Linked DNA regions of Caenorhabditis elegans. The protein of the gene in region 2 interacts with the protein of the main gene of each other region in a pairwise test. Each region holds a gene or a part of one and is shown on either strand. Other genes may lie near its edges.

Evidence for each region.
Region 1: the proteins of hpo-34 (region 2) and unc-101 interact in a two-hybrid assay, tested with the Caenorhabditis elegans proteins (3 studies listed by BioGRID).

The regions. Positions count from the first base shown.
Region 1 is NC_003279.8:12,506,627-12,513,937, reverse strand, and holds unc-101 (AP-1 complex subunit mu-1-I), read right to left. Parts: upstream 5,640-7,311; 5' UTR 5,384-5,639; coding exon 5,342-5,383; intron 5,288-5,341; coding exon 5,131-5,287; intron 4,450-5,130; coding exon 4,251-4,449; intron 3,652-4,250; coding exon 3,380-3,651; intron 3,156-3,379; coding exon 3,026-3,155; intron 1,992-3,025; coding exon 1,622-1,991; intron 1,136-1,621; coding exon 1,037-1,135; 3' UTR 518-1,036; downstream 1-517. Other genes in the region: mter-4 (Mitochondrial transcription termination factor family protein), read right to left, coding at 21-108, 285-419; asah-1 (Acid ceramidase subunit beta), read right to left, coding at 6,427-6,636, 6,848-7,041, 7,205-7,311. UniProt on the Caenorhabditis elegans protein: Component of the adaptor complexes which link clathrin to receptors in coated vesicles. Clathrin-associated protein complexes are believed to interact with the cytoplasmic tails of membrane proteins, leading to their selection and concentration.
Region 2 is NC_003284.9:11,516,051-11,520,899, reverse strand, and holds the start of hpo-34 (ZM domain-containing protein), read left to right. Parts: upstream 1-1,833; 5' UTR 1,834-1,882; coding exon 1,883-1,910; intron 1,911-1,954; coding exon 1,955-2,055; intron 2,056-2,112; coding exon 2,113-2,166; intron 2,167-2,378; coding exon 2,379-2,459; intron 2,460-2,510; coding exon 2,511-2,576; intron 2,577-2,619; coding exon 2,620-2,720; intron 2,721-2,777; coding exon 2,778-2,895; intron 2,896-2,941; coding exon 2,942-3,046; intron 3,047-3,093; coding exon 3,094-3,195; intron 3,196-3,241; coding exon 3,242-3,349; intron 3,350-3,395; coding exon 3,396-4,849.

The sequences.
Region 1 (7,311 bases), on a different chromosome or scaffold from region 2:
AAAAAATTAGCAAAACCTACCATTTTCCAAAAGTTTTTCGAAAACTTTTGCCGATTCCTGTCTGGCAAAGGAATCTCGACCGGGAATCACAAAATGTGTGCCAGTTTTCTGGAAAAAATTGAATTAGAGTTGGAAATTTGAATTTCCCGCTAATGCAAATGCGCTCCAATGCAAAAAAAAGTCCAAAATTAGGGCAAAAATTCAAATTTCGCGCCATAAAAGCGTGATGCAAGTGTGCCCCAATGCTAAATCTTCAAAATTTTCAAATTCCCGCTTTGCCGAACCTTCAAATCGTCCACAATTCGATCCATCAACGCATTTGGCGCAAAAGTCCGCAAAGTGTCGTCAGATGTGGTGCATTGACGCGAAAATGCAGAAATTCGCAAATTTCGACGAAAAATCGGCAACAATCGGCGCATTTTCTGGCAATTTTTTGCATTTTTTTCAGTGATTTTTCTGGAAATTTAGACAATTTTTGAAATGGAATTTTTAGCCCCCGGAAAACATTTTGTAAACAATTATGACAGAAAATTTATTGATTTACTGAAAAAAGGAAAACGGGAAAAATTGATGAGGATCCATGTGGTGAGAAAATTATGCTGGTGGGAAAGGGAAAAAACTCGTTTTTCTGGAAAAAATCTAAATTATGCGATAAAAATCAATAAATAAATCGGTGGGAAAAATAAAATAAAAATTTTCGAACAAAAAAAAATAGAGTTCGGGGTCATCAGGGGAAAGAGCACACACAACACATGTTTTGAGCCGGGGAGCAGCTCGCGGAGCATTAAATTTTCACAGAAAAAATTGGAGATGTTTGACATTAAAAGAGGCAAAAATTGATGGAAAACGGGGCCGTGGCCTAGGATTTTCGAAAAGTTAGGCCACCACTGGAAGCATGGTGGCCTAGACCTCCAAATTTTCCAAAAACTCGGCCACGGTCGTTTTTCACCAATTTTTCATAAAAAATTCCAAAAATTAAGAGTAAAATTGGGAATAAAATACAATAAAATATGAATTTAGGTAATTTTTTCAGGAATTATTTCATCCGCATCTCGTATTCTCCATTTTGAGTAATGTAGCGGACCCACGGCAATGCTTGATATCCACTTTTCTCGATGATTTTCAGATAACGGACCTGAAAATTTGAAAATTAGGGTTTACTTGGTGGAATTTATGGGAAAAATTGAATTTTCAAGCCTTTTTTTTAGAAGATTTTATCACCCTTAAACACCAAAAAATCACATAATTCTCAATTTTGAGCCGTTTTCTCCGTGGAGCGCACTTGCAATATGTGGTAGGCGGGAAATTTGAATTTTTGAGTTAAAAAGTCAAATGTTAGGTTTTTTCGAGAAATTTGCATCATCTTGACGCAAAAAAATCACAAAAATCTGCATTTTGAGCAGTTTTATCCGTGGAGCGCGCTTGCAACATGCGGTCGGCGGGAAATTCAAATAATCTAGTTGAAAAGTCGGATTTTTAAATAATATCATGTGTTTAAATGAAATTTTCAGCATTTTAGAGCGAAAAAATTACATAAATCTCAAAATTGGGCAGTTTTTGGCGGTGGGAAATTTGAATTTTTGAGCTAAAAAGTCGAATTTTAAGCGAAAAATTCGGCTACCTGAATGCCGCTGGTCGTAAAATACGGAATTTCAAATTTGACTTTAATCGGCGGCCGTCCTTCAGACTCTTCACTCATCACAGACGGTAGAGATAGATGGGCGGTCAAAAGGTACTCTTTTCCGCCGGGAAAATTCTTAATAGTCCATACGAAGGCCGATTGCTCGGGCGTATACTTCACCGAACCGATGCTTGTCTTGAATTTCGGTGAATCAGCGTCCGACGGGACTGGAATAATGATTTCCACGTTATTAGCAGTGGAGCGCCGTTTGAATTGTGATTTCGCTTTGATTATAAACGAGACACGGCTGTGACTGTGACGTTCGATGCTTGTCTCGATCCAGATCAGCGGCTTCACCACGGTTGTTAATCTGAAAAAAAACGGTATTTTTCGAGAATTTTCAGGAAAAATTGGAGCTTTTTGAGGTAAAAATCGAGTTTTTCGACACAAAATTGAGGCATGGCCTGACTTTTTACCTGAAAACCTAGGCCACGCATGTAAATTTGCTTTTTTTTTATTTTTCAGTGTTTTCAAGCTAAATTTGGCCTAGTGATCAACTTTTTAGACTCAAAATTAAGGTGTGGCCTAATTTTCTACCCGAAAACCTAGGCCGCAGGTGTATTTGACTTATTTTTTAAGAAAAACCAACAATTTTGATCCAGACACACAGTTTTCAGCAAAAAATAGAGTTCGGCAACGAACTGATCAGTGGTGGCCTAACTTTTGCGAGAAACTAGGCCACGAGTGGAAATTTGCATGTTACGTGTTCCATTTGTTACAGTTTTAACGTGTTTTTACAGAAAAATCGAGCTATTGTAGTAAAGAAGCCGAGTTTTTAGCCAAAAAATAGAGTTCGGCCATGAATTGGCCAGTGGTGGCCTAACTTTCTTGTAAAATCTAGGCCACGTATGCAAATTTGTATTTTTCTAGAATTTTTCATGTTACTGAGCTCTTCTTCGTCTGAATAACGAGTTTTTTGACCTAAAAGAACCCAAAAACAGGAATCGGCCTTTGGTGGCCTAGTTTTTTCCGGAAAACCCTAGGCCACGTAAGCAAATTTGTATTTTCTACACCTTATAATTGTTTTTCGAGCGTTTTTGGCATAAAAAAGCAGAAATTAACTCGAAATTACAACTCGGCCACGAACTAGGCTATGGTGGCCTAACTTCCAAAAAACCTAGGCCACGTGGGTAAATTGGCATTTCCTAGGATTTTCTGGCATTTTCAGCTTTCAAATCGAGTATTTAAGCCAAAAAATAGACAAAATCAAACTTCGGCCACAGATTAGAAGTCGGTGGCCTAACTTTTCGAAAAAACTAGGCCACATCACTGAATTTCCGTCAAAATCATGCGAAAAACTCGATTTTTCGGTTAAAAATCCGATTTTCTCCACTTTTTTCGTACCGATAGCTCATAAGCTCAAATGCTCCGTCGGGCGGTATGAAGGAGATCGTTCGATCCGTGTCAAAACGCGACAGGCGTACACATTGATGAAATTTCACGTCTTCCAGTTCCACAGATTTGCTTTTTCCGCCTGAAAATCGAGAATTATCAATGGGGCGCGATTGTAGCGGTAGGAAGTTTGAATTTCAAGTTGCAAACGCGCTCCATTGCAAAAATTTAAAAAAAGTCGCATTGGAGCGCAATTGAAAAACGCTAAAAACTTTAAAATTGTTGAATTTTAACAAAATTTTATCGATTTTAGGGTAAAATTGCCTGAAAAATCTCAATTTTCGCATAAAATTCGAAAAAACTCACGTCCACTGCCCTCAAAAAGTACTTTATCGTTAAGACCCAGCCGAAGTTCAGGCATTCCGGTAAGATAGACACGCATTTTAACGCTTCCAACAATTTCCGATTGAAGTACGGTACCGTTGGCGCTGGCCAACATGTTCACACTTTCGATTACGTCCAGGAAAACCTCGTTTTTTCGGTATTTTATGCCTTCAGAGCGCCATGAGACGGCATTTGTCACTGCCATCGGGGGACGGGGTGCCGAAATTAGTTTTTGACCTTCTTGTGTGATGTATCTGCAAAAAATTGGGGGGTTTTTTGATTGAAAATTGAGGAAAAATCGATGATAATTTTGCACAAAAATTCAAATTTTCGAGTCGAAAAACACATTTTGAACAGGAAAATTGCGCTCCAATGTGAACTTTTGCGATTTTTGCATTGAAGCGCGTTTGCTGCATGTTGAATGCGAGAAAATTGAAATTTTCAATGAAAATTCAAATTTCCCAGCTGCAACCGCGCTACAGTGCAAATAATCGCAGTGGAGCGCGTTTGCAAATAGAAATTCAAATTTTCGAGACAAAAGACACATTTTGAACAGGAAAATTTGAATTTTTGAATTCCCCGCCACTGCAAATGCGCTCCAATGTAAATTTTTTGCGATTTTTGCATTAGAGCGCATTTGTGATTGGAAATTCAAAATTTTAGGGTCGAAAATACATATTTTGACCCAAAATTTAAAATTACTGCTATCGCGCGCTGCAAATGCGCTCCAACGCTAATATTTGGCTATTTTCGCATTGGAGCGCATTTGCAGCAGAAAATGAAACGATTTTTCGTGCGGGAAATTCGAATTTTTGAGTAATTTTTTTCAATTTTTCTCGTTTTTCCTCCTTACTCTTGTAGAATTCGACTCTCAGTCGTCTGTGGGAACCCGAAATCCATCATTTCGTCCAAAAGTTCATAGATAACGACAAAATTGTCGCGAACCGACTCCTCTTCGACATCTTTGAAATATTCGGAGAAAACTTCGACGCATTTGTACAAAAATGACAAAATCATTGTGACGTTGACGTTTGAACGGCATGCTGAGACCACTGAAATGAGGGAAATTTGAATTTTTGACTGGAAATTCTGGAGAAAATGACTGAAAATCCGTTAAAAATGGGTGTTTTATCATTGGAGCGCGCTTGCACCCGCTGTCGGCGGGAAAATTTCCGGAAATTTACAATTCTGGCTCAAAAATCGTGAAAATATGTCGAAAAAGTGTGAAAAATGACGAATTTTTCGCAATTTATCGACTTTCTGGCAGAAAAGCTTGATTTTTGAAACAATTTTGCTCCTTTTTTAAGATTTTTACCACATTTCAAATAAACTACAAAATGGAAAAATTACGAAAATCGCAGTTTTATTGATTTTAGTCAATTTTTACGAATATTCGGCTTTTTTTGAATTTTAGCACTCGGGAATTCAGAAAATCAAGGAATTTTTGAATTTTTCTGACTTTAAAATCAAAAAATTGAATTTTTTTGGGTTTTCCGTTATTTTCAAGGGATTTTGTTACTTTTCACTGTTTTTCAACTCATTTTTTAGTTTTAAAACGTTATTTTCAATTTGAAAATGTTAAAAACCACAAAAAATTGCACTTTTTATCGGTTTTTGGCTTGAAAATTCAAATTTCTGACCAATTGCGTCATTTTCAACGGATTTTCTTCAATTTTGCCATTTTTCTATCTAATTTTTGATTTTAAATTCAATTTTTCACACAAAAAACCCACAATAAATATTTGTGTGCTTGATAAACACGAAATTCGTGTCCTGATAGGTCAAAACGGGCGCTGCCGAGCCTTCTTCCTCTTTTTCCATGAGTAAATGAATGAATTTATCGATTGCCGTCATGTCGATGTCTCCGCGATAATTTCGAGAAATTATCGTCTGAAAAATGCGAAAATTGGCATTTTCCGACGTGAAAAACACTAAAAAACTCACTTTTCCCTTCAAATCCAGTATAAACATGGCGGAAGTCGCCATTTTCGACGATTTTTTGCGATTTTCTCGTTAAAATCGTCAAATTCCACGTGGCAGCTACTGGAAAATACTGAAAATCCGGAGAAAATTAGCGGAAAACGGAGGAAAATCGAAGAAAATGAGTGCAAAGATGGATATCGGCTGCTGGCGGGCACGCCCTCTTGCAGTCTGCAGTCTCTTCACTTTATATACTCTCTCGGCGAGTGACGGAGCGGCAGCAGCGGTGCAGGAGGCCTTGGAGACGGATTAATTGGATGGAAAAGGTGGAGAATTTGGTTTATAGCGGTTTTTTCGCGAAAAAATGGAGAAAAATACCGAATTTTGCAAAAAATCGACTTTTTCGTCGGAAAAGTGCAAAAAATTAAGTGAAAATCGACGAAAATCGGTTAAAATTCTATTTTAAAAATTCAAAACTGAAACCAAGGGAGCAAAATTTAGGTGTGCGCCTTTAAAACTACCGTACCTTATTTTATTGGACAATAATGACAAAAACTGGCAATTTCCGCCAGAAAATTGAATTGAATAATTTGAAAATTGAATTGAAATAAAAAAAATTTGTGTAAAAATACTGGAAAATCAGTTTAAATTCATTTTTCTAGTAGAAAATTCCACAAAACCACCAATCGCTACGAGACTCAGAAGAAATATTTAGGCATGCGCCTTTAAATCTACCGTATCCCATTTTTAATAAAATTGTGACGAAATTTGAATTTCAGGAGGAAAACTTGGTTAGAAACGAAAAAACGACGAAAAACCATAAAATTAGCAAACAATTATTTTTTAAATGTAAAATTCCACAAAAAGCAATAACTTTGGTAACCTCGATAAGTTTCGGTGCATGCGCCTTTAAATCTACCGTAACTCATTATTTTTTTCCAGCGGGAAAATTAAAATTTTTAATTTTTGTTTAAAAAAAACCAAAAAACTCTAAAATTTTTAAATTTTATGAAAATTTCGTTTTCAAACAAGAACCCATCAAAGTTTATTTACAAAAATGAAAGTTTATTTCAATGAATCATTGCGTATATGAGAATGTTGAATCCAATCTACCATGGATAGCATTCTCCCGGGCAGGATTGAAGGATGGTCTCGAAGCGAGAAGTCTCGACGGACATGAGGACGGTGTAGGTGGTGAGCTTATTCAGGTTGGTGCGGGATGACAAGACGTTGAAGATTCCCTCGAATCCGACGTTCTTCTGGGTCAACTTGTCCATGCAACGGAATCCCGGAGTGTCACGGTCGTCAAGGTAGAGGTCCTGGAAGAGGGAAATGTTGGATAAGTTAATTCCGGATAGGTTTTGACAGATTTTTGATCAAAATTTCTAGCTAGGAGTTCGACCCACTCAAAAAAAGAAGCTGGGTTCAAAATACTAGACCTAGGCCTAGAGAAGGACCTCTCCTAAAAGTTGGGCCCCTAGATCCGTCTACCAGAACCTACTCTACACCTTCAACTCTAGCATCTCTCACCTCGGTTCCCTGATCGTAGTTGGTCTCCAACAGGTACCATCCGTGTGGGGATGTGGCCATCTCGGTGAGAAGTGCGGTCTTGTCGAGACTTCTAGCGATGATGCATCCCTCGTCCTTCTTGGATCCTCCGAGAATGAAGTAGACTGGTGAGAGCATTGGAGTGTTCATCAAGTGCTCCTTGGCGTCGAGGTAGGCTGAAAGCTCGGGATATAGAGCCTTTATGGATCTCAGACGGATCTAGCCCAATGGATATTAGAAGCAAAGATTAGGGACACTTGAATCTAAGCCTAAGCTTCCTGGAAATCAAAGCTTCCGAATTCTAAGGATCTAAGTCATCAAGAAAACAATTCAACTCACTGGTCTTAGTCTCGAGGGTCTCTCTTGCCAACCAGGACATCCATTTTCCGTCGGCCTCCAATCCGAACACCCACTTGAGAATACCGTAGTATCCTCCGACAAGCTGG
Region 2 (4,849 bases):
AACTATCAGGAAATGATTTAAACCCTTTTCCTACGGTTGGCGTTTTACTTACAAATACCAAATACACATTGCCATTTCCAGACACTTTTTTGATAAAGACGACCATCTTAAGAGTTGAAAGACCTGTTTTTGGTTTCATAGATGATTTTAATTAATTATTTAAAAACACTTTTGGCTTAAAACATTATTTTTTCAAGAGAGACGGAGAAAGATAAATTTCCATGGCAACATTGTCAGCGCACGAAGATTATACAACCAAGCATAGAGATTGACGAAAGATTTGTTTCCTCTATTTTTATTCACAGTTGAACAAAAATTGTGCATGTTGCTGTAGAAATGGACAGATTATGGAACTATTAGATGAAACGCAGACTGTAGAAAAATAAAAATGGCCCGAAAATAAAAATCAGTAAATATGTTTAACTGTATCTGAAACAAAAAATAAATGATATGTTGAAAAATTTGCCATTAATGTTTTATTAAACCAATTTCAGCCGTATTCTATTATGGCACGAAAAACTAATTTCCCGAGTGTTCACAGGATTGCAAGGAAAAGTTCGATGCCGACCAACAAAACATTAATTTTCGTTATAACTCAAATTCGGTAGGATATTCGAAGATTTGAACATTATTTTTCAAACATATCCATTATATCCAATTCTCGAATTTTTTGGGTATGGCATCACAAAGTCATAGTCCGTTTCTGCGTTTTTCACTGTTTGGAATTGTAACTTTAAAAATGTATCATTTTGTGTCTGATTATTTTTTGCAACTCTTAAAAATTCTTACTTACTAGTTTTGCAATGTAATAATGTGTTATACAAATTACAAATGATATCTAAATAATTATATAATTTTAAATGTATAGAAAACTTTTACTTGTCTCAACATGACAATTTTGTTAGTCAAGCTTCAGTTTCCAGTCAAATAAAACATATCACACTAACAGAAACATTTTGGATAAGTTTTTGATTTAAAATTAAATTTTTATCTTTAATTTGTCATTGTCGTTTTCTCGGGAAATATAGTGTTTATCAAAATTAGAATGTGCGTTTAACTAAAATGTAGGATTTCATCATATTTGTAATTGAGCATTTAATAAGATGTTTTCTTGTGTCTTGAAATAAATTCAGATGTATGAAAAAAACTGTATTCGTTCAGATGACTTAACGTCCTTTCAGAGCAAATATTTTCGGGTACTGGCAGACTGTAAACATTAAAAACATCGACATTCTTTTTCTCTTTGTCACTTTAGCAAATATCATCTGCTATAATTTCCACTGCAAGTGCAATGCTTGTTACCTCCCAACTGGAACACTGACAGGTTAAAAAACTATAAAACGCTTGCTTCAAACAGCATGGAATTCAGTTGGAATATAGACCCATTTCTCTCCCATAATTTTAGTTTAATTTTGAACTTATGTTTCCTTTTCTGACATTAAAATATGTTCTCATGTTCTAAGCGTGTCTAAATGGAAGTCCCCCAATAAGTCACAAAAAATTATTATGCTATCATGTAATGTGTCCGGCAAAGAATCATTTATAAATTTCTCTGCGTTTATCAAAATTAAACGTGCTCCAAAAAGTGTGCTGCGTGTCACATACTATCATACCGGTCGTTTCGAAATTGTTCTCTACCCTCACTTTCCCCTTGTCGTCGTGGTTTATCATCTTACATCAAATGGCAGTTATCATCGGCGCCGTGTTTGCCGTTTGTAGCAGAGTTAAGAGCCCGACTGCTTTTTGAAACCAATCTTCGCGTTTTACTTTTTTTCGCAACAATAATAATAATAATAATGATCTAACAACCTTTTCAAATTTAATTCTCAGCTATTTTAGGTTACCTATTGTTCGTGGATTGGAAAAAAGAACCGAAGAAAAAATGATGGAGACTAGGAATGCCAGTGATAGTAAGTATGACATTAACACATTTCCCAATTCCAGTTTTAAAAAGGTTTGATGGACCAAGTCTTTTCTGCTGTCACGCTTCCTGCTGTTGGACAAACAACTACCATCATGGAGCATCATCAAGAATCTCACACTGTTTTTCACCAAGTAAGAAAATTTTTGAACAGTTATTTTGTTGATATTAGTTATTTTATTGAATTTCAGGAGAGTCATCATGTTGAATCTCACCACGAGCATATGGAATTCTCCTCTTCTGGGGTAAGCAAATTTTTATTTACATTGTAAAGATTACTTTAACTTCAATTATAATCTGATTTTTTTTACTTCTGATTTGATAACTTATCAATTTTTTGCTCATCAAAACTGAAAATCAGTTGGTGCTCTTTGATTTCCGTGTTCGAAAAAGAATGACAGTATCGATTGATTTAAGAACAATTTTGTTGGAAAATGAACAAAAAATATTTTTTCAGGTTATCGTAGGAAACGTTGTTGGTCATGATGCCGTTATTCAACGTCGTCCAACTGTGGATACTGAAGATCAGCGGTCGGAGGTATATATTAAAATTAATCTTTCATTATTTTGAAAAAGAGCATTTATTTAGGTGTCCGCAATGTCAAAAGCCACATCAGTTTCTGTTCATTCTAGCGTTTCTCAAAAATCCGCTCAGGTATTTCAGTTCGAACAATGAAAACTATAAACGCCTTTTTCAGCACTACGATCTTCCACCTATCCCACAGTACGACATGCCTCCGATTGTTGTTGGGGAAGCTGTTGTTGGAAAGGCACCATCAGTTGCTTCTTCCAGATCAGGGTATATCTTAAGCTCACTCTACTGAAGAAATAATAAATAATTTTCACACACCTACAGGTCCCACCATTCCGTCGCTTCGCATCATTCGCATCACTCCCAACATTCCCATCATTCCGCTTTGACTCATGACAGCGAGTCGACTATTTCCGAGGGAACTCTTGTGAATGAGCCGATCGTCAGTTTTACAAAGATTAAAAAACAATTTATTCATGATTTTTCAGGTGGTCGGAGCACATGTTGCATCTGAAGCTCCAACCCCACTTGCTGTCGGACAATCATTCGAGCATGACGCAGTGATTGAGCAATTTAAAAATCTTCATGGAAGAGTAAATAAACATTTTCAAACTTAAAACACCTATAATTTCTTTTTCAGGATCAATCAGTGGTTTCCAGCATTGTTCCTGCCTCAGTTCACATTCAAAGTGACAGCGAGGACTCTATTGCTCCATCAAAGTTGACTCACTCGATTGCTGTTGTACGTTTTTAAATGACATATCAGTTAAACTGTGAATTGCTTTCAGGGAGGAGTTGTCGATTCTCACAATGGTGTCAATGTTTTGCACAGAAGTCACGAAGTTGAATTTGTGGACTTTGCTGCTCCAGCTTACTACCAACCACCATCAGTTGTCGTAAGTGTCAAGAGTTTGTGTTTTTTATTAATACAGCTTTGTTCAGGGCGCTTTTGATGCTCATAGCGAGGATTCGTTTGGTTTTGAGAAGGTGGAATATGTGGACACTCATGAGGACCATCACCACAAGTTGGAGGAACAAGTTCCGCAAGTTGTTCATGAACATGTTATTGAACAGCATTACGAGCCTTATCAAATCGTCCATGAGAACCATAATGTGTTATCGGTCGATTTCGGAGAGGATCAACACTCCATAACCCATCATGATCATGACCACCACCACCACCACCATGAATCCCATGTTACCCATACCTTCACCTCCAATGTGAAACAGTCCCGTTCTAACACTGCCTCCACTTACCAAAGTCGCCAAATGTTAGCACATAATGTTGGGCCTAAAATTACTGAGGAGTTGCGTCCGGCTGCGGTGCTGGAGGAGGAAGAGGTTGAGGTTAGGCCCCCAGTGATGGCCTACGTGGCTCCAATCCCAGTTAAGCCACCACGTACCCACGAAGAGAGTCATATCTATAACGCGTACGAAACGGAGATTCATCAGCAAAAGGATATCGTCAAGTCTACTACTGTTGTTCTGGAAGATGTCCGCTCAGGATCTGAAGGTATTCATATCCGAGCGGATAATTCTTCATCTGTTGATATTATAGGTGTTAGCTCCCTTCGCAGAAAGTTTGAGCATGGTGCTCCACCACCATTGTCGCCTGTCTTTGAAATGAAGAAGCATGAGCACCACAAGCATCTTGATCAACACCATCACCACAAACACCAAGACGTCGTCGTTGAGCAAACGCAATTCCAGGTCGGCGATAACTTCATCTCTTCTTCTTCTTCTAAAGCAATAGAGAATCATTATGACGTTCCTTTCGATTCTTATGAGATAGTTGATAAATCTGAAAACACTAAAAAATCCTCATCCTCTTACCACGCCTCCTCCTCCTACCACAAGCAAGCACCACCGCTGCCACTAGTCGATTACCATGTATATGACACGCCAACTGTTGAACATTTCTCCCATTCGCCAGCTTTCTATACTGACGATCAGCGCCACCATTATGTTCCCCAAATCAAGGTGATAACAGAGTATCGACACATCAACCCTCGTCATCATTACGTGGAAAGACAAATTAGAAAAGCTGATGGAAGTGCGATTGCACAAAGTCCGCAAGTTCAAACGATTGACTATTTTAAAGAAATCAACAGGGCTCACCATTTTGTCCCATCTACGCCACCATCGCTGTTTAACAACAAGCGAGAAAGTTTCCACCATCACAGCTTTATTCCAAACAGTTTGGAAGCTGAAAGAAAGAGTCGTAGTGTTGAAAGAGCGCACCATTATCTCCCAGATTCACCAGCGAATGTGAAAGATCAGAGAAAAATAATCAGGGAACATCATTATGTTCCTCTTGAGAAACGCTCTCAATCGTTGGATTTAAAAGTAGTTCATCCTGAACATCACTATGTTCCACTTGTCAGAAAAACAACGGA